Linked DNA regions of Oryctolagus cuniculus. The main gene of each other region encodes a partner of the protein of the gene in region 7 in a complex. Links are inferred from orthologs where the notes say so. Each region holds a gene or a part of one and is shown on either strand. Other genes may lie near its edges.

What was found.
Region 1: NUP160 (region 7) and CETN3 share a complex: the UniProt entries of both Homo sapiens proteins name them as parts of the nuclear pore complex. The link is inferred for Oryctolagus cuniculus from reciprocal best matches to the Homo sapiens genes NUP160 and CETN3.
Region 2: NUP160 (region 7) and NUP188 share a complex: the UniProt entries of both Homo sapiens proteins name them as parts of the nuclear pore complex. The link is inferred for Oryctolagus cuniculus from reciprocal best matches to the Homo sapiens genes NUP160 and NUP188.
Region 3: NUP160 (region 7) and NUP93 share a complex: the UniProt entries of both Homo sapiens proteins name them as parts of the nuclear pore complex. The link is inferred for Oryctolagus cuniculus from reciprocal best matches to the Homo sapiens genes NUP160 and NUP93.
Region 4: NUP160 (region 7) and NUP85 share a complex: the UniProt entries of both Homo sapiens proteins name them as parts of the nuclear pore complex. The link is inferred for Oryctolagus cuniculus from reciprocal best matches to the Homo sapiens genes NUP160 and NUP85.
Region 5: NUP160 (region 7) and NUP107 share a complex: the UniProt entries of both Homo sapiens proteins name them as parts of the nuclear pore complex. The link is inferred for Oryctolagus cuniculus from reciprocal best matches to the Homo sapiens genes NUP160 and NUP107.
Region 6: NUP160 (region 7) and CETN2 share a complex: the UniProt entries of both Homo sapiens proteins name them as parts of the nuclear pore complex. The link is inferred for Oryctolagus cuniculus from reciprocal best matches to the Homo sapiens genes NUP160 and CETN2.

The regions. Positions count from the first base shown.
Region 1 is NC_091445.1:13,137,649-13,141,748, reverse strand, and holds the start of CETN3 (centrin-3), read left to right. Parts: upstream 1-1,300; 5' UTR 1,301-1,443; coding exon 1,444-1,460; intron 1,461-3,991; coding exon 3,992-4,100. UniProt on the Homo sapiens protein: Plays a fundamental role in microtubule-organizing center structure and function. As a component of the TREX-2 complex, involved in the export of mRNAs to the cytoplasm through the nuclear pores.
Region 2 is NC_091432.1:232,157,719-232,161,218, forward strand, and holds part of NUP188 (nucleoporin NUP188), read left to right. Parts: intron 1-269; coding exon 270-339; intron 340-721; coding exon 722-789; intron 790-1,218; coding exon 1,219-1,414; intron 1,415-3,500. UniProt on the Homo sapiens protein: Component of the nuclear pore complex (NPC), a complex required for the trafficking across the nuclear envelope. Required for proper protein transport into the nucleus.
Region 3 is NC_091449.1:40,502,587-40,506,086, reverse strand, and holds part of NUP93 (nuclear pore complex protein Nup93), read right to left. Parts: intron 1,926-3,500; coding exon 1,793-1,925; intron 131-1,792; coding exon 1-130. UniProt on the Homo sapiens protein: Plays a role in the nuclear pore complex (NPC) assembly and/or maintenance. May anchor nucleoporins, but not NUP153 and TPR, to the NPC. During renal development, regulates podocyte migration and proliferation through SMAD4 signaling.
Region 4 is NC_091448.1:5,331,375-5,335,404, forward strand, and holds the start of NUP85 (nuclear pore complex protein Nup85), read right to left. Parts: upstream 2,801-4,030; 5' UTR 2,676-2,800; coding exon 2,643-2,675; exon of another isoform or gene 2,260-2,642; intron 1-2,259. UniProt on the Homo sapiens protein: Essential component of the nuclear pore complex (NPC) that seems to be required for NPC assembly and maintenance. As part of the NPC Nup107-160 subcomplex plays a role in RNA export and in tethering NUP96/Nup98 and NUP153 to the nucleus.
Region 5 is NC_091442.1:71,074,031-71,077,530, reverse strand, and holds part of NUP107 (nuclear pore complex protein Nup107), read right to left. Parts: intron 2,821-3,500; coding exon 2,676-2,820; intron 413-2,675; coding exon 309-412; intron 1-308. UniProt on the Homo sapiens protein: Plays a role in the nuclear pore complex (NPC) assembly and/or maintenance. Required for the assembly of peripheral proteins into the NPC. May anchor NUP62 to the NPC. Involved in nephrogenesis.
Region 6 is NC_091453.1:131,267,398-131,271,611, reverse strand, and holds the start of CETN2 (centrin-2), read left to right. Parts: upstream 1-1,414; 5' UTR 1,415-1,629; coding exon 1,630-1,635; exon of another isoform or gene 1,636-1,992; intron 1,993-2,087; coding exon 2,088-2,246; intron 2,247-2,556; coding exon 2,557-2,685; intron 2,686-3,345; coding exon 3,346-3,483; intron 3,484-3,923; coding exon 3,924-4,013; 3' UTR 4,014-4,214. UniProt on the Homo sapiens protein: Plays a fundamental role in microtubule organizing center structure and function. Required for centriole duplication and correct spindle formation. Has a role in regulating cytokinesis and genome stability via cooperation with CALM1 and CCP110.
Region 7 is NC_091432.1:18,219,428-18,222,927, forward strand, and holds part of NUP160 (nuclear pore complex protein Nup160), read left to right. Parts: intron 1-1,137; coding exon 1,138-1,248; intron 1,249-1,407; coding exon 1,408-1,531; intron 1,532-2,622; coding exon 2,623-2,724; intron 2,725-3,500. UniProt on the Homo sapiens protein: Functions as a component of the nuclear pore complex (NPC). Involved in poly(A)+ RNA transport.

The DNA.
Region 1 (4,100 bases), on a different chromosome or scaffold from region 7:
CCACTTCACCACAGTGCTGCCCCCCCGCCCCATTTCCTTTCTAGCTGTTGGCCAGAGGTCATCTCAACTTTTAGAAGCAGTCCATATCTGATTCTATAGATTTCCTGTGCAAATTATTTCTGTGAAATCCATTTTGCTATTATTATATCTTATAATCATTGTTCTCTCAAATGTGATGATCAGCTACTTACTGAATTCTTTTTATCAATTCCAATAGCTTCTTTGGTATTCTTGGATTTTCCAGGTGTTATATAATTCATACACAATGTTAATTTCATGTGGCACTTCTTCCCCTTGTTTTATTGCATCATTCATGAGAATTTCAAGGATAATATTGATAACCATTTTAATGGTTTCTGTGGCAGACTTGCTAATCCCATTTTATGTTTAGTAACAGATGGTATGACCTCATGTTTTATCAGGGAACATGGCATCCAAACTAGAGAGCTCTTCTCAGCCTCCCTTACAGCAAGCAAGTAGTGGCCATGTCACTAGTTTCCACGGCTTAAATGTGAAGAGAAGTGATGCGTGTGACTTCCCTATCATTCCCTTAACAGGGTATGGCACTGACGACATTTGACCTTAACAAGTAAAAACACATTTTCCCAAATTACTTGTCCACAGTGTCATTCTCTATGAAATGACCATAAGCATCTCACAAAACTCTAGTGTTCCGGGGATCAAGGTTGAGAAACCCTAATGTTCCATTCTAAGTGTGTTATTCAGCATGGTAAAAAAAAAAAAAAAAAAAAAAAAAAAAGCACTGTCCATACCTGCTTTATTAATATGTATCTTAGAATGAGTAAGGGATATTTTGTCCTTGAGATCATCTCGGTTATCTAGCATTATGATTATTTAATAGATTTATATGTTGAATTCTTCATAAACACACTCTATTTAATGATAGCGAACTGTGTCGTTAAGAGGACACCAAACGTTTTGCTAACATCTAGGACCCAAAGGAACATCAACTGCAGCCAGCCACTGGGGACACAATGAATGACGTGCATAAACTCGGTCGCAAGTGAGCCTGCGTAGGATGCTGAGGGTTGGGTTGGCCGCAAAAATTAAGCTCACGTCTCTGAGAGCACCTGCACCGGTCTCCTCCCCGCCATTCCCTACCTGGGAGCTGTCCACACGCCGGCCCGCAAAGGATTCGGGGAAAAAGCAGCTGGCCAATCTAAGGGGCCGGAGGGCACGGGAGAGGCGGGCACAAACGCTCCTTTGACTGACGCTAAAGCCATCCAATGAAAATAGGGCGTAGTGCCGAGCGGGGCACAACCTTAGCGGGTTTCGACCAATCCCGCTCAGAAGTGTCTGTCTTCTGGGCGGGGCTGGTGGTGGCAGCGGCCGTTCGCGTCTGTTGAACGGCTTGTGGGAGTCCTGCTGCTTCGGGCCAGGGCATAAAGTCTCTGAGAGGAACGTGTCTGTCCGGGGAGGAAAATGAGTTTAGCTCTGAGGTCGGTAGTCGTGAGGCGGCCGCGCTCCCCACGCCGCGGAGCGGGCCCCGGGCGTGCTCGCGTGCGTGTGTGGGTGTGGAAGGGAGGCCGTTGGGGCCGAGGTGAGGAGGGGGCTCGCCGGCCTGCCAGCCCCCAGCCCCCCGGGAGTGCAGAGCCCTGCAGGTGACCGGCCCGGCGCTCGCTGCCGAGGTGGTCGCCTGTGGCCGCGCACGGGGCTTTCGGCCTAGGGGGGTGGGCCGCGGGCGTGCGGTGCTGCGACCCCGCCCACCTGGCCCCCGCACCGCTGCCCACGGAGTCGCTCGCCCGTGTGCCCCCGGCCCCGCCGAATCGGAGACCCGCCCGGAGTCGGTGTCTTCTGTCCCGACCCTAGCCCTCGGTCTGTGCCCCACCCCACCCCCCGTGTCAGATAGCCTTGAAGGCAGGTGCTCAGAGACTGTGTTCCGCCACGGGTGGCCCTGGCTGCGGTCAGGTGTGGGCGGGGTCCGGACTTGCCCGCGGGCAGTCCGGGCAGGGGAATGGCTGACCCCGGCTGTGCCCAGGTGTGTGTCCACTCGGGTCTCTTGGGGAAGGTCTTCCTCAGCTCTGACGTACTGCACCTGCTGTCATTTGGTAGCCATCCCTATTGCCTTTTTTTCCCCCTTAAGATTTCAGAAACCAAAATAAGTTTTTTGTTTGTTTGTTTTTTTTTTTTTTTTAAAGATTTATTTATTTGAAAGGCAGAGTGAGTGACAGAAAGAGACAGGGAAAGAGATCTTGGATCCGCTGGTTCAGTCCTCAAAGGGCGTCCATGGTTGGGGTTGGCACAGGGGGGAGCCAGGAGCCCTGAACATGGCAGTTCACCTGAACATGCCACCCTCCTGGGTGGCAGGGGCTCAAGCTTTGGGGCCATCTTCCGCTGCCTTCCCGGGGAGCAGCTGGGACTCAGGGTTTGTGTTCCTTGGACCTGAGAGGCAGCCCTACCTGCTGGGCCACGATGCTGCCCGCCCCCCCCCATGGCTTTCACATGCAAATAAGATGATCTGTTATGAGACAATCAACTGGTTTTACATTTAGAATTTTTAAAACGTGTTCTTACAGAATTGGTGTTCTCATTTGAAACTCTGAAGCACTTCTACATCTGTCTCAGATGGAAGACATTCCTAACTTCCAAATAATTTTGCTTTTCATTTTCTTTACTCTTTTCCAGAGTTATGAGAAGTTTGACCTATAGTTTATAAGTTAAATGAGACAAGAATTTTCACATTTTTTGGAAGTAAGCACAAATGCTACATACCACTTTTTGATCTTTTAACATTCATGATATATTTAGACTCACTGCTTTGTTGGCTGACATGTTAATATTGATGGAAGAAACTACAAACAAAGTACCTAGATGTGATCCAAAATAGTTTTGAACTTACAATGCCAAAATATAGGTTAATTGATAAATTATTTGGCACTTTTTTGTAGTAATCTTGAAAACTTAATTACAAGAAATATACTGAAGTATAATAAATATTTATGTTGATTGTCAATTATGAATTCTACTTTGATTTGGATTTTTTTCCACTTTTGCAGAATGATATAAGTGTTGATTTGGTTTTGATTGAGGTTTTTGGTCTGAAAGTAATATTTCTGACCATTCTTTTTTTTTAAGGTTTTTTATTTATTTATTTGAGAGGTAGAATTATAGACAGTGAGAAGGAGAGACAAAGATCTTCCGTCTGTTGGTTCACTCCCCAGTGGCCGCAACGGCTGGAGCTGTGCTGATCTGAAGCCAGGAGTCTGGTGCTTCTTCCTGGTCTCCCATGTGGGTACAGGGGCCCAAGGACTTGGGCCATCTTTTACTGCTTTCCCAGGCCACAGCAGAGAGCTGGATTGGAAGAGGAGCAGCTGGGACTAGAACCAGTGCCCATAAGGGATGTTCGCACCACAGGTGGAGGATTAACCTACTGCGCCATAGTGCCAGCCTCCTCTGACCATTCTTGTTTCTGAGTTGGGAGGAGGGAAGGTTTGGTTCCCCCCCCCCCCCCTTTTTTTGAAACGTATATGAAAGAGTGACAGAGACAAAGTCAGAGAAATCTTCCATCTCTGAATGGCCGCTATGGCTGAGGCTGGGCCAGGCTGAAGCTAGTAGCCAAGAACTCCATTCAGGTCTCCCATTTGGGTGATTGAACCAACCACTTGAGCCATGCCATAGTTGTCTGCCTTCCCAGGTGCATTAGCAGAGAGCTGATTGGAAGTGAAGCAGCTGGGACCTGAACTGGCACTCATGTGCGATGCCAGTGTGGCAGGTGGTGGCTTAATCCATTGCATTGTGACAGTGGCCCTTGTTCCCCATTTCTGTCAGAGTTTCGGCTTCATACTGGGAAGTGTACATTCATAGAACTGTGGACTATGGAACAAGCAGGATGTCAACTCATACAGAAAAAATACTTTATCTTTCTTCAACATATTTCCTTTTTGGAAATTTAGAAAGTTGTTGATTGTTTAGTTTGCATAAGAGAATACGATTAGAGTGGACTAATGACTTTTTTGTTTCCATTTTATAGAAGTGAGCTTGTAGTAGACAAAACAAAGAGAAAAAAAAGAAGAGAGCTCTCTGAGGAACAGAAACAAGAAATTAAAGATGCCTTTGAACTTTTTGATACAGACAAAGAT
Region 2 (3,500 bases), about 210 Mb from region 7:
TGGTGCTCTGGCAACGTGCATGGAAGTGCATGTGGGGGAGTGTTACACTTCTTGAGATCTTGATGCCAGTAAGCATCCTCTCTAAGGTTCAGCTGTGTGTGTGTTCCTGCCTTCTCCTGACTGCATCAAAGCCCCCCCCCCTTTTAAGATTTATTTATTTATTTAAAAGTCTGAGTTATACAGAGAGGAGAGGCAGAGAGAGAAAATCTTGCAAAGTGTAGACCATGGGAGAGCAAGAATCTGGTTTCCACAATGTGTTTTCCTCCTAGGCCCAAGTTTTGGGAAAATTTGACATGCCCGCTGTTTGGAACCCTGTCTCCTCCCTCGGAGACGTCTGAGGTGAGCCGCAGTGGCGGGCGGGCGGTTGCTGCCAGTCTCTGGGCGGAAAGGTTGGGCTGGGCTGCAGTGCAGAAAGTGGTACCTGCCCCAGTTACACCGGAGCGTTTTCTTCACCAGAAGCTTCCTTCTCCGGGCAGGGCCTGCTTCCTTCCCCTTTGCTGTCTTGTTTTGGGAAGGTGGCCTGCCCTGTTCTGGGTGGATGGCTCCGGGCTTCTCCCCTGTCTTGGGGCCGTGTGGCCCTGATGCTCCTGCCTGTTCACATTCGATAGGGCGTGCACTTGCCTGTTCCCACGTCTTGGGGCCCTGCCCTCCTGCAGGGTGGGGGCCCCCGGGAAGAGGTTTCTGCGTGTGACTGCTGTCTGTTCTGCTCTCCCCTCCACAGCCCAGCGTCCTGGAGACCTGTGCCTTAATCATGAAGATAATTTGCTTGGAGATATACTATGTAGTTAAGTGAGTCCTCTCCCTGTGTGAGACTTTCAGTAAAGGTTGGGGGTGGGGGAGATGGTAGTGGCCTACCACTGGGTGCGTGGCTGTGAGCCAGGGCAGAGGAGAGAGTTGGTTTGGAGCCATTTATGGAGGGCCAGTGAGCCGTGTCCCTGGCCAGTCCACTGATGGCGTTTATAATTGTCAGAAAGAGTTATGGTGGCGCAAGCTCCATGTGACCGGGATTTCATGGCGGAGGAATCCTGGAAAGGCCTCAGCCTAACCCATTATGTTGAGCGAGAAGTGTGACCCCCACACCCTGGAGGTGATCCGGAGCCGTCTGCCTTTAAGCCCATGTGAGGTGGTTCTCCCTGCCTCAGCAAGGGTCTGTGCCCGTCAGATTCCCAGCTGCTGTCATGTCTTACCTGGGGGTTTTGTTTCTTCTTGACATCACAGGGGTTCCTTAGACCAGTCATTAAAAGATATACTCAAGAAGTTTGCCGGTGAGGAACGCTTTGCCTACTGGTCAGGGTACGTCAAGTCCTTGGCGGTTCACACGGCGGAGACGGAGGGCAGCGGCTGCACCTGCTTCCTGGAGTACCAGATGCTGGTGTCTGCCTGGCGGATGCTGCTCATCATCGCCACCAGTCACGTAAGCCTCCCCTCGGGCGAGTCTGCAGCTTGGGGTCTTAGCAGTGACTTGGTGAGATGCCTGCCAGATATGCCTTGAGATAAAGAACCAGGATTTTCCCTGAGAGCCAAAATGTTACTGATTTCTGTGTCCAGAGATTGGGCTTATCTGGGGTGTTTGAAGGGTGTTGGCTCCAACAAGAGATGTAATTTAAAATCCCGCGGACACCCACGACGGCCTCCTTAGCAACCTTTGGGCCTTGGACGTCTGAGGTGCACTCTCACTTCGCCTGCCACTCACGCAGCTGCCTGCTTGCCTTGCAATGTGTGCCCCGTAGCTACAAGACAGCATTGTTTTCATTGGTTTTGGCCACTGCACTTCCAGGTCTTTGAGAAGAACAGGGCCATGGTCTCAGCGCCACTGTGTGTCTGCTGAGAGTAGAAAAGAGAGAAAGCTATACCATTTGGGAAGAGTGTGCATTCTTGCTGGCATTTTGGGTGGTTTGCCACCATCGTGCTGGGTTGTAAGAACTTGGCGTCAACTGCTCTTCCTTGGGGGATCCAGTTCAATGTCTTGACTTTGCTAACAACTTCAGCTTGGTAGGTCCTCCGTGTTCCAGGCAGCTCTTCCTCCCCACCCCTCCACGCCCCAGAAATCTTTCATTTAAAAAATTCAAACTTCATGCTTTTCATAAATACAACTTTAGGGATATAGTGATTCCTCCCACCACACCCACCTTCCCACCCACACTCCCACCCCTCTTCCTCCTCTGTCCCCTATTTGCAGTCTTATTTTTTACTAAGATCCATTTTCAATTCAGTTAACTCAAAGTAAATAATTAACTCTAAGTAAAGAGTTCAACAAAGTTTATGAAAAACTCTTCTGCAGCAGTTGAGACAAGGGCTGTTCAAAGTCATTGCATCTCGAAGTGTTGATTTCACTTCTGTAGATAGATTACCTTTTAGGTGTTCTATTAGTTATCACAGATCAGGGAGAACATAGGGGATTTGTCCTTTAGGGGCTGGCTTATTTCACTAAGTATGATGTTTTCCAGTTTAATTCATTTTGTTGTAAACAATAGCATTTCTTTTTTTTTTTTTTTTAATTGCTGTTTAGAATTCCATGGTGTACATATCCCATAATTTATTTTATTTTATTTATTTATTTGACAGGTAGAGTTATAGACAGTGAGAGACAGACAGAGAGAAAGGTCTTCCATCCGATGGTTCACCCCCCAAATGGTCACAATGGCCAGAGCTGTGCTGATCTGAATCCAGGAGCCAGGTGCCTCTTCCTGGTCTCCCATGTGGGTGCAGGGGCCCAAGCACTTGGGTCATCCTCCACTGCCCTCCTGGGCCACAGCAGAGAGCTGGACAGGAAGAGGAGCAACTGGAACTACAACCCCGTGCCGTGCCCATAATTTCTTTATCCAGTCTTCAGTTGATGGACATTTAGGTTGATATTTTAGCTATAGTGCATTGAGCTGCAGTAAACATGTAACTCTTTCATATGCTGATTTCATTTCTCTTGGGTAAATTCCCAGGAGTGGGATGGCTGGGTCATATGGTAGATATGTATCCAGATTTCTGAGGTGTCTCCATACTGTCTTCCACAGTTGCTGTACCATTTTACATCCCCACCAACAGTGGATTGGGATACCTTTTCCTCACTTCCTCGCCAGCATTTGTTGTTTGTTACAGATTTCTGTATGAAAGCCATTCTAATGGGGTTGAGGTGAAACCTTACTGTGGTTTTGATTTGCATTTCCCTGATGGCTAGTGATCCTGAACATTTTTTCATGTCTCTGTTGGCCATTTGGATTTCTTCTTTTGAAAAATGCCTGCTTAAGTCCTTTGCCCATTTCTTCACTGGGTTGTTTGCTTTGTTGTTGTTGAAGTTCTTGGTTTCTTTATATGTTCTGGTTATTAATCCTTCATCAGTTGCATATTTTGCAAATATTTTCTCCCATTCTGTCGGTTGCCTCTTCACTTTTCTGAGTGCTTCTTCTGCAGTGCAGAGGCCTCTCAATTTAATGTCATCCCATTTGTCAGTTTCGACTTTGGTTGCCTGTGTCTCTGGAGTCTTTTCCAAGAACTCTTTGCCAATG
Region 3 (3,500 bases), on a different chromosome or scaffold from region 7:
GGAACCAAGTTTTAAACTCTCCCAGCTGGTGCTGCGCTCGATTAACCACTTGTGAAGCGGCAAGCAGGTCTCCACAGCGCATGCAGTAATAAATTAGTGCCCACACAGGATGGCCTTCCACTTCGCCGTCCTGAAAGAGGAAAGACACATTCAAGAGAAATGAACAGAAGCTAACTGATTGTTTTTGACATACCAACACCCACTAAGCCCCTATCCCTGTACTAAGTCACCTAACCTTCACAACCCCACCAGGCAAGAACTGTTGACAGCCTCCTCCTCCTCTCTGTCCAAAGAAGCTGAGGCACAGGGAGGTTAGGTCATTTGTCCAAGGTAAGCTGGTAAGTGGCAGCGGCTCAGCTCTAAATACCTTACTTGCTGCACAGCCAGCCCTGTGGCTTCCCCAGGGAACCTCAGTGGTCTGCAGTGCCCAGGTGACATGTTCTGTGGTAACTGACAGACACGCACTCCCACAACCCCTACAAAGTCAGGGCTAAAGGTGTCCAGGAAGAGACTATCATATGGTAATACCTGAGTTTACATAATATTAACTACACCACGAGCCAACTGCGGACTCTGCCAGGCACCAGGGATCTGAAAGGCAGCTCTGTTCTACTCTCCTGTCTGCTCTGGTCATCTGCCTGTGCAGCAGACCTATGCATGCCTGTCTCTGTCTCTCCCCACTCCTATTCGGAATAGTGAACCACAGACATCCTTTCCTGGCCCTTGCTCTGTGGCAGACTCTTTCTAAAGCCCAAATTTATCATGTCACTTGCTCACCCAAACTCCTCTGAGCTGAGAAGTCTGAAGTGCTTAGCCTGGCATTCAAGGCCTTCATACTCCTGACACTGACACTCCAGATCCTCTTTCCAGCTCCCAGGTTTTTGTTCCTGGTGTTTTCCCCTCCTGAAATTCCCCTTTCCTAGACTGCAGTCTGGTGAACACTTATTTTTTAAAAGCAAGCGAGACTTGAGGCTGGCGCTGTGGCATAGTAGGTTAATCTTCTGCCTGCAGTGCCGGCATCCAATATGGACGCTGGTTCTAGTCCTGGCTGCTCCTCTTCCAGTCCAGCTCTCTGCTATGGCTTGGGAAAGCACTGGACGATGGCCCATGTGCTTGGGCCCCTGCACCCACGTGGGAGACTCAGAGGAAGCTCCTGGCTCCTGGCTTCGGATAGACCCAGCTCTGCCCATTGTGGCCATTTGGGGAGTGAACCAGCAGATCAAAGACCTTTCTCTTTGTCTCTTCCTCTGTCTTTAATTCTCTCAAATAAATAAATAAAAATCTTTTAAAAAAAAAAGCAAGACTCTCATCTGCTTTATGAAGCCAGCCTCCCTTTATCTAATTATCTTAGTCTCATACCTGGATAAGATAATTCCCTCAGCTGGATTGTGAGCTGGATTGTGAGCTGGGAAGAGGGTACACGCCCTAAAAATCATACCCAACTCCAATCTTGCAGCTGTTCTGGTAAAAATCTCAGAAGTCATCCCTGACTCTGCCTTCATAGCCCCATCCAAGGTCATCAGCAAGTCCTCACAGCTCAACTTGCCTGACACATTTAGAACTGGAGGATACCTTCCACCTCCCTGCTCCTTCACCGCGGGCTGAGCAGCCACCACCACTCATCTGGGCTCTTTACTACCACCAGCCCAAGAGGCATTCAGCTCCCCACCCCCCCTTCCTTGGTCTCTTTTCCATACGGCAGTTTCCCTATATATCCTGCCTTTAACTGAAAATGCAATCTGAGAGCAACTGCTCTGGGTATAACTGATATCACAGAGAATGGTGTCTATACCTGAAGTCCAGGCAAGGGAGCTGGAAGTTTAATGTTCAGGAAACTCCGAACCAACTGGTAAGTTCCAGGCACGCCACCCAACTGGGCCTGATGCAAATTTCCAAAGACAGTCACAAGGGTGTAATTCTTGTAACTGGAAAAACACAAAAAGGAAAACAAACAATGAGGAGGTTGAAAATATCTATTGCACACATCTATGTCCGCATCTGTGACGCTGGGCTCTGAACGCTACAGGGCAGGCCCTGGACTTAAACCTAACACAAAAGAGAAAGTTGCATATGCTTAATTAAACAAACTACACTGCTTAGTCAGTGGGCAGCAGATCAATGTAAAGACTTTGCCTCACTGTGGACACTCAAAAGAATCCCCAGAGGAGCACAATTCAAGTGCAGTAAGGGCTGATGTGCAGATGAACTGTTCCTGCTCAGAACCTAATGCTTGTTACACTTCTACATTTTGAAAAATTTCAAACCTGCAAAATTAAAAGGATAGTTTAACCAATACTTATATATTCCTTTACTGAGCTTCAACTGTTAGTAACATTTATGTGCACGTCTCTCTTTCTATCCACACAAGAAATGTGCTTATACTTTTTCTGAATCATTTGAAGATATGTTCTAGAAAGCAGGGGCTAACTCATCTGTAAATTCTTTATCATGTAGCTCATAGGAACTAGGATGTTCTCTTAAATAACTCCAAAATCACTGACATCAAGAAGTCTAACACTAAAACTGTCCTCTAAAATTTCTTAAAAAGGTCCTTTATAGTTTGTTATCTTTTAAAATCCAGGATCTAGTAAAGGAATTCACAACAATCATTTGGCACCCCTTTCATTTCCTTTAATGTAAGATAATTCTACCACTTTTTTTTGTCTTGCAAGATACTGATATCTTTTAAAATAACACACCCCTCTAACTGCACACACAGACCAGGCCAGTGCCGTGGCTCACTAGGCTAATCCTCCACCTGTGGCACTGGTACCCTGGGTTCTACTCCCGGCTGGGACGCCAGATTCTGTCCCGGTTGCTCCTCTTCCAGTCCAGCTCTCTGCTGTGGCCCAGGAAGGCAGTGGAGGATGGCCCAAGTCATTGGGCCCTGTACCCGCATGGGAGACCAGGAGGAAGCACCTGGCTCCTGGCTTCAGATCGGCATAGCACGCCGGCTGTAGCAGCCATTTGGGGGGTGAACCAAAGGAAGGAAGACCTTTCTCTCTGTCTCTCTCACTGTCTAACTCTGCCTGTAAAAAAAAAAAAAAATACAGACCAGGTGACAGGGAGAATGTCCCACAAGTAGGGTCATTTCCTCATGATCAGATTCAGGCTCCACTTTGTTGCTGATAGCCTTACACAGCTCATGCTGGTACTTCCCACTGAGACCCACAAAGAGAGGTGGCAAGTAAGCTGTTTCCTTCACGACTGGTAACACTAGATCTGATCCATTTGGTTAACAGCAGTTGTCTCTCATATTTCCCATTGTAATTTAGTATTATTCCTTTGTAAAGAATAAGTCATCTGCTGGGTAATTCTTGGGAAGTCATGTGAATATTCTGCTCCTTTCTTTAGCTTTTAGTTGGTTTTAGTTTCCACTGATGGTCTCTAACAACACAATTACTACACTGCTGGTTGTGAAATGATAATTTTCTCTTCATTTATTTGCAAGTATAGGTCTTAAAATCCTCTACAGAGTTCTTAAGTGCTTCCTATACAAG
Region 4 (4,030 bases), on a different chromosome or scaffold from region 7:
AAAGTCAGAGTTGGGGCTGGCGCTGTGATGCAGCAGGTTAATGCCCTGAAGCGCCGGCATCCCACATGGGCACTGGTTCGAGTCCTGGCTGCTCCACTTCCGATCCAGCTCTCTACCATGGCCTGGGAAAGCAGTGGAAGATGGCCCAAGTCCTTGGGCCCCTGCACCCAAGTGGGAGACCTGGAAGAAGCTCCTGGCTTCGGATCGGCTCAGCTCCAGGTGCTGTGGCCATTTGGGGAGTGAACCATCGGATGGAAGAACTCCCTCTCTCTCTCTGCCTCTCCTTTCTCTGTGTAACTCTTAAAAAGAAAAAAAGGAGAGGAGAGGAAAAGAAAAGTCAGAGTTACAGATAGAGAGGGAGAGACAGAGACAGAGAGATCATCCATCCACTAGTTCACTCTCCAAATGGCTGCAACAGCCAAAGCCAAGAGCTTTTTCCCGCGTGGGTGCACGGGCCCAGATGCTTGAGCCACCTTCTGCTGCTTTCCCAGGTGCATCAGCAGGGAGCTGGATCAGAAGTGGAGCAGCCAGGATTTGAACTGGTGCCCAAATGGGATGCTGGCCTTGCAGACAGAGGCTTAACCCACTGTGCCACAGCACTGGCCCCAAGCCCCTAAAATCTTTAAGTAATTGAACTGATTCTGAAGAACAGGAACTTCCAATCGTTACTCCTGCGCACAGCTATGCTGGCGCCTCCAGACAATTATCCCCGAAACAGACCAAGCCCTTTGCGCCTCGGCTTCACAAATCGACTTACAAGCTAACCCAGATCAGCAGCCAGGAGGGAAACCCTGAGGCTCACCCTTACCTCCAAACCTCACCCTTACCTCCAAACCTCACCCAGTCTCCAGCCGGCAGGAGTGACCCCAGCTCCGGCTCCGGCCTTCCCACCTGTGTCTGACCCAGCGGTAAGTCCTGGCCGCCCCTGACAGGAGCCCGAGTCTGATCACCACGTCTACAGCCCAACTGAGGCTACCAGCAACTCTCCCTGAACGACACTTCTCAGTCCCTGAGTGATCCTCTCACATGGCCATCACTTGCCCTGTAAACAGACGGCGCTCACAAGGGCAGGGGCTTTAGGATCTTCACGCACTGCCTACAGAGACCCTGCCGCACAGAACTCGGCTAGCGACGGCCTAGTCTCAAGACAAGCGAGTTCGGGCCTCAGGAAGACCTAACGCAATCCCTGAACAACTAAGCAATGCTGGGCTCTAAGAACACAACGTGAAAAAGCCTCTCCCCTCCAAATGCGGGCAGTTTACAAGAAGAGCAATAGGGGGCGGCGCTGTGGCCTAGCAGGTAAAGCCGCTGCCTGCAGTGCCAGCATCCCACATGGGCGCCAGTTCGAGTCCCGGATGCTCCACGTCCGACCCAGCTCCCTGCTGTCCCCTGGGAGAGCAGTGGAAGATGGCCCAAGTCCTTGGGCCCCTGCACCCACGTGGGAGACCTGGAGGAAGCTCCTGGCTCCTGGCTTCAGACCAGCGCAGCTCCAGCTGTTGCAGCCACTGGGGAGTGAACCAGCGGATGGAAGACCTCTCTCTCTCTCTCTGCCTCTCCTTCTCTCTCTGTGTAACCCTGACTTTCAAGTGAATCAATAAATCTTCAAACAAACCAAAAAAAGAGCAATAAACAGCAGGCAGACAGAAGCCAAAGGTACAGGCACACGGGAGAGAGTCGGATTAGCCAAATCTTGACGGATGAGCAGGCCGGCAAAGGGCAAGTGTTCCACACGCACTCGAAAATTAACCACACAGTAGAGCAAGACGCGTAAGACCCGAAGCAAGCACGGTAGGAGTCTGCCTGCTTCCAAGACCACACGCACAGACTCCAGACGAGACGCAGGGCCCTCATCAGGGTGCTCTGCAGGGCCACAGCGGGTTTCACCGCCACCTGGGAGGCCGCAGCCCACATCTGAGAACCGGGTTCCAACCTGGGCTCCTCCCAGCGCAGCCCGCACGCTCGGGCCCCTGCTACCCTTCCGGGACAGCAGCATGGAGCTCTGGCCCCGGGCTCGCGCCTGGCCCGAACCCGGCTGCTGCAGCCACGGAACACCTCTCTCTCTCTCTGTCGCTCCGCTCCGGATAGGTCCAGAACCTTTCGTGAAAATGAGTGGAACTGAAGGGTACCCAGACACGCGGAACTCTGCGAGCCCGTCACGGGCTGACTCTTGTCAAGGAAGGGAAAAGATCGCGGGCCGCGAGACCGGCGGGCTTCTCCTGTGCAGAGCCCAGGAACTGCTTTACCGCCGATCATCCGCACCTGACACACTCGAGAGTCCAAGCGGAACTGAACGCACAGCGATGTTAAAAACAGTGTCCCCGAGAGAATAAATACGTTCACTAAACTTCGGGCTAGCACTGACTAGCAGGCAGAAACTCAGGACAAACAGGGAAGCCCCAGCTCCTCTGCTCAGCCCGAGCCCAGTCTCGTGCCCACGAGGAAATGCGAAGGCAGTAGGGTCAGGGAGACAAAAAGAGGGGTGGGACGGCGACAGCACGGCTGCACCCTAGTTCCTAACGGAGCCGAGGAAGGGGCTGGGCACCGCGCGGCCGGCAGGGAGCCGCGCTGACAAGCTTGAGATGACCCAGCGGACGCCGTCCCGGGGCGGCGAGCGCAAGCAGGCCAGTCCCGGGCTCCCTTACAGTGACTGTCGGCTCGCCATCCAGCTCCTCCATAGCGCCGCGCCGCCGACACGCTCCTCCGCTCGGGCCTCCCGCTCAGGAGCCTGCCGCGAGAGAGGACCCCGCCCGGGCGCCCCCGGCTGCGCCTGCCGCCCAACCCCGCGGCGCCGCCGAGGCCTCGCCTCTCAGCCACGACCCACCCCTGTGCCGCCCTCGCCATGCGTCCCTCCTTCACTGCCTCCGCAGAGCGTCCGGGAAGGACAGCGCGAGGGCAGCCTATAGTCACAGGCGTGATCTCGCCCGGTCAGGCAGCGCCGCGGACAGCCCCGCGCCGGGCAGAGAGAAGGCCCCCGGAGACGGCGGGAGAGACCGCGGGGCGGACGGCAGTGCGCCTGCGCACGCGCGGACTCGGGTGGGTGTCGCCGGGCGGTGGCCGGGGTCAGTGCCCACGGTGGCGGCCCTGGCTCCCCCGTCTGCGCTGCGTGGCGTCCGCACAACAGCGTCTCCGAGCCCCGGCGATCCAAAGGGCGTACGTTAGGAAGCTGTCGCCGCCATTGCCTCTCCGGAGCGCGAGAGGCGCGCGGACCTAATTGATGGCGTCTAAACCGGCCGCGAGGAGTGGACGCCTGTTGATGCTGGTTCTGTGCGAAGCGGCGCGCGCGTCCGTGACGCCCCTGGCGCAGGAGAGAGGGGCTCCAGTGACCTGCAGCAGGTGTTTTCGGAGTGACACATGGAGGGACGGTGGCGCCGGGCTCCGCTCCCCCTCGGCCACCTGGGCGAACTCAAACTCGCGACTTGGAAGTCTTAGGAAGCAGCTCAGCGCGGGAGGAATCTGGCCCGAAAGGCTGTAGCAGGGCGTCCCCTGGGCCGAACGCGCCTGTCCCTGCCGGAACTGGGAGTCTGTCCTGGCGCCCAGCTGTGTGTCCTTGTCGGGGAGCGCGGGTTCGAGTCCCGGCTGCTCCACTTCCCATCCAGCTCCCTGCTAAAAGCAGCGGAAGTCCTTGGGCCCCTGCACCCACGTCGGGGACCCAGCTGGAGCTCCTGGCTCCCCGCTTCAGCGTGACCCAGCCCCTGCCCATTGCTGCCGTTTGGGGAGTGAACCAACAGATGGAAGATGCATTCTCTCTCTCTCCCTCCTCTCTGGGTCTCTGCATTCAAATAAATAAATACTTTTTTTTTTCAAAAGTGCCTGCTACACACCTATTGAACTTCAAGTCCTACGCCCGGTGCCCTCGGCAGGCCCAGACCAAGTGACTTAGGGGCTTTACACGGCCCACAGGCCAGTGTTCCCCACCCCTGACCTAAGGGGTTCAAAGCTGCCTACTGTTTCCAAAAAGACACTAAACACTGAGTAGCAGATAACATTTTCAAAGTAGGGCAGGCGTTTTCCCTGGCAGTCAGGACGCCTG
Region 5 (3,500 bases), on a different chromosome or scaffold from region 7:
ACAGCAGTGGGCACCTGTCACCCACGTGGGATACCCATATGAAATTCCAGGCTCCTGACTTCCATATAACCCAGCCCTGGCCATTGCAGCCATTTGGGTGGAAAAATCTCTCTCTCTGTCTCTCTCACTCTGCCTTTCAAATAAATATAAGATTCTTTTTTAAAAAATTTGGTCTGGCTGCACTCTCCGCTATTTTTGCCACTAAATTCCTAGACATCCCCTTTCAGTACACAATAGATATTAGCAGGTTAATGCTGTTTAGCAAACTAAAAGTACTAGAGTTTGATGACAGGGTGAAATCAGCTCACCTGACTAACACAAATGTTTTCGTACTCTTCCACAAGGTCAAAAACTGTAGTTGAAGAGTGCTTCAAAAAAGACTGCAGGAAATCAGAAAACATACTCATGGATGCTAAAATACATTAAAAAGAAAAGGAAAAAAGAAAAGTTATAGGACATACTTTTAGGTAATTTTGATTGAAAAATTAAAAACATAGTTTTTAAAAAGAATTTACCACTGTAAAGAAAGAAAATTTACCATTGTAACTATTTTTAAGTGTACACAGTTCAGTGACACTAAGCACATCCACAATGTTGTGCTACTATCACCAACTTCACTCCACAACACTCATTCTTACCTTGCAAAACTACAACTCTACCCATTCAGCAATAACTGCCAATTCCTCACTATCCCCAGTCCCTCGCAACCACCATTCCACTTTCTGTCTCTATCAAAGTATCTCATATAAGGGAGATCTATATGATCTAGTCTGTCCTATTTTGACTTGCTTATTTCATTTAGCAATGTCTCAAGGTTTATCCATGTTAGCAGGTGTCAGAATGTCCTTCCTTTTTGGCTAAATACTACTACTACATTTTATGTAAATAGCACACAATGGATGGACACTCAGCTGCTTCCACTTTTTGGCTACTATGAACATGAATATTTAAATATCTCTTTGAAATCTTGCTTTCACATCCTTTGGGTATATATGCATAGGCAGAACTATTGGATCATAAGGTAATTCCTCGTTCAGTTTCTTGAGTAACTGCTTTACTATTTTCCAAAGTGGCTGCACCATTTTACATTCCCACTAATAGTATACAAGGGTTTCAATTTCTCCACATCATTTTCAAATTTGTCATTTTCTCCATTTTTTATAGACCTCCTAATGGTGTAAGGTGGCATCTCATATTAGTTTTGATCTACATTTCTCTAAAGATAAGTGATTTCACCTTTTCACGTGCTTACTAGCTATTTGAAAATCTTTAGAGAAACATCTATTCAAAATTTTTGCCCATTTTATGAGTTACAGCAGTTACAGGAGTTGTTTTTTTTTTATTTTTTGGATTTAAGCCCCCTTTCAGCTAATTTGCAAATATTTCCCACTATTCCACAGGCTGCCTTTTCACTCTGTTGATTAGATTCTTTGAGGCATAGAAATTTAAGATTTTGGCATAGTCCAACTTATCTATTTTTTCATTTGTAACCTATTAGTTTTGTAAGATCCCAAAGATACAGTAGTCATTAATGTTTCCTATTTTGTCAACAATTTTAAAAATTGGGCCACATTTTAAAGCATCTGAATTACATTTTAAGCACAGCATAACAAAATGGCTAAGAATTACAGTAGCTACTCAATGCTCTGTTCAGGTAAGGGAAAATGCATTTGCTCTACTAATATTTGAGTTCTCATCCTAAAATTGAATTCTTGTATTTTACAGAATAAGTAGGAAGTATTTTTGGGGAACCCAAGATTCAAGTATGTATTACTGCAGACACTGCAAGAAAGTGGTGGTTACCATGGTGTTAAGGGCAAGGCTCTGGAATCAAACTGTTTAGTTTCAAATCCTGGTGCCACTACTTCCTAGCTGGGCGATTTTCTGCAAGCCAGTTAGCCAATCTGAGCAGTGGTTTCCTTTCCTCTAAAATGAGAACAATCATTCTAACTATGTAATGGATCTTGGTAAGGATTCCAGGAGTTCATATTCGGAGAGTGATAACCACACAATTAACATCCATAAGGTAGCTGATGATGATGATAAACTCAAGAACATGGTATGTAGGTACACAGACACTAAAAGCAAATGGTCTTGTACAAAAGGAAACGTTAGTAACAAACCTAAAACTAGCAAAGTTACAATACTTTCTGAAAAAGCAGCACTGCTGTCCAGGTTAAAGCTCAACACATCAGCAGTGTTAGATTACAGCTAAGCCTAAGTTCTTTTGGTGGCACAAATAAGAATACAAATAGGAGACCTGCAATGATCCAAAGGCTGCTGTTTATGCTAACAGATACAATGGCAAGACGCTGCTGACAACCCAGGAGGGCTTCTCAGGTTCTCACACTTCCAGAGACAGCCAAGAGCAAAAGCAATTCACACAATGACAAATATACAGACAGAGGGAAGACCCAGCAAAGACTTTCCTGATAGGAATTGTCCTCCCATGGAAGGAAAGAGGAAGAGGCCTTAGAAAAAACCAACCCTGCAGATATCTGTACATTGGATTTCTAGCCTCCAGAATTCCAAGAAAATAAATTTCTGGTTTTTTAAAGCCATCCCTCCCTTTAAAGGAAAAAATAAAACCATGACATTCAGGAACAGGAGAAGAAAACATCGTGACATTAGTCAGGAGAAGAACCGCTTTATCGCAAGGCTCCAAGCCACTTTACCAGCCTCGCCAGGATCATCCTCACGTAGCATGACCGCGCTGAGATTCACGTCCTCTGTGACACTGTGGGCGTCTACACCTGTGTACAGCCCTAAGCGCTGGGATGAGAACGCAGCCGCCCAGTTACTGTCATCCAGATTGGTTATCTTGGAAGGAAAAAGATGCAGAAAAGTGATGGAGCTATTGTCACTGAGTGAACAAATGCTTTAAAAATGAATAAGGTTCAACCACATTTTAAAAACATTACTTCTGTGTATTTTACTTTTAAAAGATAGCCAACAGGGGTTATTATGTTAAGGAATTTATGGATTTTTAATGTTTTCTTCTTTGTATTACTCCATGCTTTTAAAAAAGTTAGTAAGGATTACATTTTGTAAAATTAAGCTAATATTAGCAGATAAAATTAAGCCCTACTTCGTAAGTACTATAAAGGATGGGAGAACCAGTTTTCTTCAGCAGTTAAAAACAGATGAGGGCAGGTATCGTTGGTGCAGCTTGAGATGCCAGCATCTCACATCAGAGTCATAGCCACTCCACGCTTTTGATCCAGTTCCCTGGGAACACGCCTGGGAGGCTGCAGATAATGGCCCAAGGCCTTGGGTTCCTGCCACCCATGTGGGAGACCTGGATGGAGTTCCCGACTCCTGACTTCAGGCTGGCAATCCTGGCTATTCTGGGCATTTGGGAACTTATCCAGTGGATGGACAATCTCTCTGTCTCTCCCACTGTCTTTGTCACTCTGCTTTTCAAATAAATAAATAAATATGTATATATATATATATATATATATATTTTTTTTTTTTTTTTTTTTCCAAAAAGATGGAGG
Region 6 (4,214 bases), on a different chromosome or scaffold from region 7:
TTAAGAGACTAGATACAGGGGAGAGGGCAGGGAAAGTTAAACATGAACACAAAGTTTTGAACCCAGTTCACTGCTGTAAAGAGGAAGAGGGCAAAGAGTAGACACTCCTCTTAAGATGTGCTAGGATGCCTCAGGCCTTTTGAAGCCAGAGAAACCTCTGCTCTGTCCTCTGCCTCCCCAGATAACCGCCTCAATGCCGCATGAGTAGGTGCAGCTGAGACCCGTGGAGCTGTCTAAGGAGGGCAGACTCCAGTCCTTTTGCAGTTTCAAGTCAGCCCTTACCATTACTCATGCTCCCCTGGAGATCTTCTTCCACAATTCCCGTGACTTTGCTCACAAGGGTGTCTCGGCCTGGAGTTCTCCTCCCTGACTGCCTTGAGAGTCTGTGTCAAAAAGAGTGTATTTTGAGACAAGCATGAGGAGGAACCTCCTTCACGTCGTTCAACACCCATTGTCAAGGTCTCCGACTCACTGTACCGGGCTGCTCCTGGAACCTGCTGTATTCTCTCAAACAACCAGTCTACGTGCCAGATGTCAAACCCTCTGCGACGACACTCAGCACGCCCCTTCCCCTGTCAGGGTCTCAGCTATCCTGTGAGTAAGTACAGTCCCAGCTCCCACACGAAGGTCCTGGGATCTTCCTGATGCCCTTGTTCCTAACTCAGTCTTAGGCCAGACCAGAAAACCACTGCCACTCAGACCGCCCCGCCTAGTCCTTCGCTCGCCCGCCCTGCCCTGTCGCCGATACAAAGCGGCTTCCGAAGCCTACGTGGCGACTCTTACCCTTCGGTCCGTAAATGTCCCCCGGTTGATCTCAGCTAGCCCGCCGCCGACAAGGACCGAGCTCCAGCCTAGGAAGGCCACCCTTTTTTCCCCGCCTGTGTGAGCTGAGAATCAGCCGAGCTCCTTCTACCTAGCGGATTGGCCGGGCCTAGAGTCGGCTCAGCCAGTCGGAGCTCTCAGCGTGATGTTGTCCAATGAGAGCAGGTCTCACCCTCCCAGCGCACCGCCCCCCGCCTGGGCCCGGGCTTTGTGAGGTTAGCCCTACCCACTCCAGACGTAGACCAATGGGGAGCGCTGGAGGTGAGCCGGCAGCCAACAGGGAGCTGGGCCGCGCGCGCGGGGCGGTGGGAATGGCGCCGAGTCGGTGTGTACGTAGGTTGCCGTAACAACGGGCAGCGGAGTGCGTCGGCTATGGTGAGTGCTGGCTCCCCAGTCCGGCCTTGCACCCAGGGACTGAGTCCTTCTCAGGGCTGCGGCCCCGCCACACCACACTGACTCTCTTGCTCACCTTTAGTGCACTGATCCTTCCTTTGAGCTCTTTCCCGGAAGGGTAGACACGCCAGCCACCCCGCTGGGCCTGCGCTTCGCCCTAGCCTCCCCGTCATGCACAGCGGGCCCTTACCCGTCCCTCGGGTCCCCCTGGCTTTCTCTACCCGCCTCGGGGACTTCCTAGGCAAAGAAGAGGGCCCAACCCCTCTCAGATCCTGGCCCTTTCAGATCTTGGCCTCCTCTCTCTGCCAAACTTCCCCCACCTGGGAGGAGCTTTGTTATGTTCTGATTGTTAACTTGTATTTTACAATTTAAATATGGGCATTCCGGAGATGCTTTGAGCATCTTGGGGAGGGCATGAAGGTGCCAAATAGATTGTTTTACTATTTGATATGGACAGAACACTTATCTAAACAACTTAATAATCTTTGGCCAAATCCAGAAGTAATCGGAAAGTCAGAGTACCTCTTGGGAAGCCTAGTACCGCGAGGGGTTGTTTTTGGAGCCAGGATCCCCGCGTTCAGGGAGGGCAGTACTCACTTCGAGTTATCTACAGTCACTTCCTTAGCTAACTGCCTCGGAGTGATGTATCCGAAGAACAAGGGATCTCTTTGCTTCTAACAAATACTACTAAAGAAAAGGGAGGGAGAGCGCTTCACGGGAAGTTTCATTCTTTCCAATAAACCCCATTATCTCTTGTTGAGCAGAAATTGGGAATTGGTTGGTATAAATTAGTTTTAAAAGAGATAGCAGTGTCTGTAACTATGGACTGTATTACATAATAGTGTGCTCATGTGTTCGTATAATTTCTACAGGCCTCTAACTTTAAGAAGGGAAACATAACATCTAGTTCCCAGCGGAAAAGGATGAGTCCTAAGCCTGAGCTTACTGAAGAGCAGAAACAAGAAATCAGGGAAGCTTTTGATCTCTTTGATGCTGATGGAACTGGGACCATAGATGTTAAAGAACTTAAGGTAAGCCCTGCACGTTCTTGCTATACTACCTCTGCTTCTTCCTTACCCTTTCTCTGTCACAACTCTACCCCTTTTGCCCTCTCCTTCCTGTAAAAACTAACAGGGCTGGGATTTTTGTGCTCTCTTTTCCTGTCTTTTATTATGCCAAGTGTTACTAAATAAAATTGACAACAAAGGTCAGTTACATCAATGTTTATTCTGTAGTCATTTTACCATTATTATGGTAGATGTTGGCTTAATATTCTCAACACTTATATTTGCTCCTGCTAGATTCAGATATGCATATTGAGACATTCCTGTTTCCTTACAGGTGGCAATGAGAGCCCTGGGGTTTGAACCCAAGAAAGAAGAAATCAAGAAAATGATAAGTGAAATTGATAAGGAAGGCACTGGAAAAATGAACTTTAGTGACTTTTTGACTGTGATGACTCAGAAAATGGTAAGTTAGCTGAGATAACCATTAGCATGTTTTTTACTCATAGTGATAGATAATGTCTATCTATCTAGAGTAAATGCAAAAATAATTTTAAAATAGTGATAAAGTCTATCTATCTAGTCTAGATGTGAAAATGACCTAATTGGAGAAAAATTGACAAAGATTGGAGAATTCATCTGATAAAAGATAGTATTTTTGACTGAGAATTAGCCTAAATTCTCTTTGGCTTTCTTCAAGGTCACAAACTAATGAAGTCATTTCACCCTTTGTAAAGTAGCAAAAGTGTCATTTTTCACTGTTTTTCCAACTGATATATCTGTGATAAACCCAAATAGAAAAACTGTAGACACCATTCATTTTTAAATGCAAGGTGGAGGGTTAGGGAATGAATCTAAGAAGTTGATTCCCCTGGAAGTCCCTCCTTGGCATTTGAACTAGAGCAAACTCTGAACAGGAGAACACAGCAAAATACCAGGGCTTAGCATGCCAATGTGCAGTGTCAGGTTCACTAGGTGTCTCAGCAGCTGCCTCTAATTCTGTTCTTTGTCTTCTTGGCTTGTATTGTTGTAAATGGGGGGGGGGGGAATGGGCAGTGGTGGGGCTATGGAACACGGGTAACCATGGTGTTTTCCTGATAATGCATTTTATGTTCTACTTGTTAAGTCTGAGAAAGATACCAAAGAAGAAATTCTGAAAGCTTTCAAGCTCTTCGATGATGATGAAACTGGAAAGATATCATTCAAAAATCTGAAACGCGTGGCCAAGGAGTTGGGCGAGAACCTGACAGATGAGGAGCTACAGGTTTGTCATGTGTGAGGCTGGAACGGTGAATTCCCACCGTTGAGCCCTCTGAGACTTCTCTGCTTTTGATTTTTCCCTGGTGGGAAAACCTCTTTGAATGAAAGATACTGTTCTTTGGCCCCTTTGCTAACAACGTAACTTTCCTTTGATAGTCTGACAATCCTATGACCCTGCTTCCAGAAAAATGCATGTGTGTACAGTTTTATTTACTGTTTTAGGTTTTGGGAGTCCTTCTGGTCAAGTCCTTCGAACTTCCTTCCAGGTGACATGTATGACAAAATATGACTTGGTTTTCCAATGACTCTTCAAGAGCCAAGTTATTATAATGTATCGAGTAGACTACAATTGTCTATTCAAATAGCAATGTTAAAGCCTATGATGTAGTCACCTTTTTGTTTATTTTATGAATTAATGTTCTCTGAATCTTTACTGTCATGCAGGAAATGATTGATGAAGCTGATCGAGATGGAGATGGAGAAGTCAATGAGCAAGAGTTCCTGCGCATCATGAAAAAGACCAGCCTTTACTAAGATCCATGTCGTCTTTTCTACTGCAAGCACACCTAACTAGATTTAGTGCCTGCCATTGTGTAAAATCTGGCTTTTGAGAACACAAACTATTTTCTCCTGCACTGACCTCCCTACATAATTTTAGTTATGGCCTCTAATCTATTTCAGACTTTTAAAGTGTTCTTTGATACTCAATCTCTTTGTAAAATGACCTGCTGATTA
Region 7 (3,500 bases):
CGCATGGGAGACCAGGAGAAATACCTTGCTCCCGGCTTCAGATCAGTGCGGTGCGCCAGCCGCGCGGCCATTGGAGGGTGAACCAATGGTAAAGGAAGACCTTTCTCTCTGTCTCTCTCTCTCAGTGTCCACTCTGCCTGTCAAAAAAAAAAAAAATCTGGTTGCTTTGAAATTATCAAGTATGCATGGTATCCTTCCTGAAGAACCTATGCTCTAGATTTGGACACACTTGCTTTTAATTCTTCCTTTGTCACCTTGTGCAGGTTCCTTCACTTGCTCGCTCTCTCTCTCTCTCTCTCTCTCTCTCTCTCTCTTTTTTTTTTTTTTTTAAGATTTATTTATTTGAAAGGCAAAGTTAGAGAGAGAAAGAGATCTTGCATTTGCTGATTCACTCCCCAGGGCCAATCAGAAGCCAGGAGCTTCCTCTGCATCTCCCACATGGGTATAGACACCCAAGTACTTAGGCCAACCTCTGCTGCCTTCCCAGTTGTGTCAGCAAGGAGCTTGATTGGAAGCAGAACAGCATCACAGGTGGTGGCTGTACCCACTTTGCCACAGCACCAGCCCTGCAGGTTCCTTTCTTAGTGATAATGATGACAGTAAGAGTTAAATTACACGTAAAATACCTTATGAGGAGCTCCTCCACTGTAGCTATTGTTATTAGAGTGCTTGGGCTCAGTTGTAGATAGGAGGCAGAATGCTGCTTAATTTAGCTTTTATTGAGTCCTCTGTTTTTTCCTTTAATTAATGCCTCTGTGAAGTAAATTTTACTTAAGATTAAAAGAAAATGACAGGACCAGCATTGTGTCTGATGCCATATCCCATCTGAACACTGGTTTAAGTCCTACCTGCTGTACTTATGATCCAGCTCCCTGCTAATGTGCCTGGGGAACCAGTAGGAAATGGCCCAAGTGCGTGCCCCTGCTAACCATGTGGGAAACCAGGATGGAGTTCCTGGCTCCTGGCTTTGGCCTGGCCCAGTCTTAGCTGTTGCACCTAATTAAGGAATGAGCCAGTAGGTATAAGATCTCTTTTGTTCCCTATTTCACAAATAAATCTTTAAAAAAAAATGACAGGTTGACTTTATCTAGTAGACACTTCCTCATGGGTTTGAAAATACTTCTCTTTGATTTCTAGCAAATCGGCAGATTGAAATCCTGGAGCTGGAGGATCTGGAAAAAGAGTGCTCCTTGGCTCGAATCCGCCTCACTCTGGCCCAGCACGATCCATCGGCAATTGCCGTGGCAGGTAGGGACTGAGCAGGTATAGCCTCTGACTGTGGGTACCGTGGTGCCTTTCAGGACCAGGCAGTGGATACAGTGTGCTAGATGGGTATAAAGCACGGCATTTTTAGTCCAATTTGCATATGCCCGTGAGTGGACTAATAACCTTGTTCCCTTTCTGCAGGAAGCTCGTCAGCAGAGGAGATGGTGACTCTCTTGGTTCAGGCTGGCCTCTTTGACACTGCCATATCCCTCTGTCAGACTTTTAAGCTTCCCTTAACACCAGTCTTTGAGGGACTTGCTTTCAAGTATGTATAAAATTGTCTTTTTATTGTCTTAATTTTCTTTTATTGAAGATTGATTTTATTTAAAACTCAGAGAGAGAGATCTTTCATCCACTGGTTGTTCCTCAAGTGGCTTTAATGGCTGGAGGCTGGGCCAGGCCGCAGCCAGGAGCCTGTAACTCCATCTCTGTCCACCATGTGGGTGGCAGGGATCCAAATATTTGGACCATCTTCTGCCTTCCCAGGAGCATTAGCAAAAGCTGGATCAGAGAGGAGCAGCTGACACTCGAATCGGCACTCATGGGCTCCTGGCAGACCCCAAGCCAGTGGTTTATTAGTTGTTTGTGACTTAAAGAAAGTGTTTGGTTTAAGCTGTTCATTAATTTTTTTTAGTGGCTTATGATTTTACTTTTTTTAAAAAATATTTTGATCTTTAGCTTCATTTAAGAAATCAAAAGAGCAAACCTCATGGTTTAACTAATGAGGTCCATTTATGACAAGTTTATATAGACAAGTTGTGTGCTGTGTTCAGTCCAGTTAGACCCTCTGAATGTTATTAAAATTTTTTTCAAAGATTTATTTTATTTGAAAGGCAGAGTTACAGAGAGGGAGGGAAACAGAGAGCGTCTGTCCCCTGATTCACTTCCCAAATGGCCGCAATAGGCCATGCCAGAGCCAGGACCAGGAGCATCTTCTGGGTCTCCCACATGTGTGCAGGGGGGCCCAAGCACTTGGACCATCCTCCACTGCTTTTCCAGCACCCAAATAAAATGCCAGCATCACAGGTGGCAGCTTTACCCAGTCTTAAATGTTTCCTATTGACGTCATGTATGCCTACTATCAGTCAAATAGTTTGTGAATTGGAAATGTATTTAGACTTTCAGAATTTTCTACCATTAATTTTCTCTTGGAAGTAAATTGTCTCAAGTCTTGCTAATGGCTGATGGTTCATCAGGTTGTGTGGCTTTGAAGAAAGGGAAGAGCCAGTACTTCAGTAGTGAATTTGATGGTAGACTGGATCGAAAATTGTCATCTTATCACTCCAGTTTTAGTAGCAGAATAAGGTCATGGGTTTCAGCAGTTGGTTTACTGATATAAAGCCATTTTCATTGCAGATGCATCAAACTGCAGTTTGGAGGAGAAGCCGCACAGGCAGAAGCCTGGACCTGGCTAGCAGCCAATCAGCTGTCATCTGTCATCACTACTAAAGAATCCAGGTACAGCAGTGTGTTCATCTAGTTCTGGGAGGGTTCACCTGCCTCAAAACTGTAGCTTTTGCTTTTGCTTTTCTTTTTTTGTTTTCAGAATTTATTTGACAGAGTGGTAGAGATAGAGAGAGATCATCCATCTGGTGGTTCACTCCCCACCTGCCAGCAACAGCCCAGGGTGCAGCAGAAGCCTGGAATTCCATTTAGGTCTCCTATATGAGTGGCTAGAGCATCATCTGCTGCTTCCCAGGGTCTGCATTAGCAGAAAGCTGGATTGGAAATGGAGTAGCTGACACTAACCAGCATTGCCATGATGCCTGCCTCTGTAGCTTTTTTTTTTTTTTTTTTCCCTTAAGATTTATTTATTTATTTGAAAGTCAGAGTTGCACACAGAGAAGGAAAGGCAGAGAGAGAGAAGGGGGCCTTCCATTCACTGGTTCACTCCCCAGCTGGCTGCAATGGCTGGAGCTGCACTGATCCGAAGCCAGGAACTCCCTCTGGGTCTCTTCACATGGGTGCAGGGCCCAAGGACTTGAGCCACCTTCTACTGCTTTTCTCAGGCCATAGTAGAGAGCTGGATTGGAAGTGGTGCAGCTGGGAGTCGAAGCAGCATCCATATGGAGCACTGGCTCCGCTGTAGTTTTTCTTTGACTAAATTATCCTACACAGATTATTTTGCTCTTTTCTTTCTTTTAAATTATTTGTTTACCTGCAGTGCCACTTCCCATGTGGTCAATAGTTTGAGGCCCGGCTACTCCAGTTCCAATCCAGCTCCCTGCTGATGG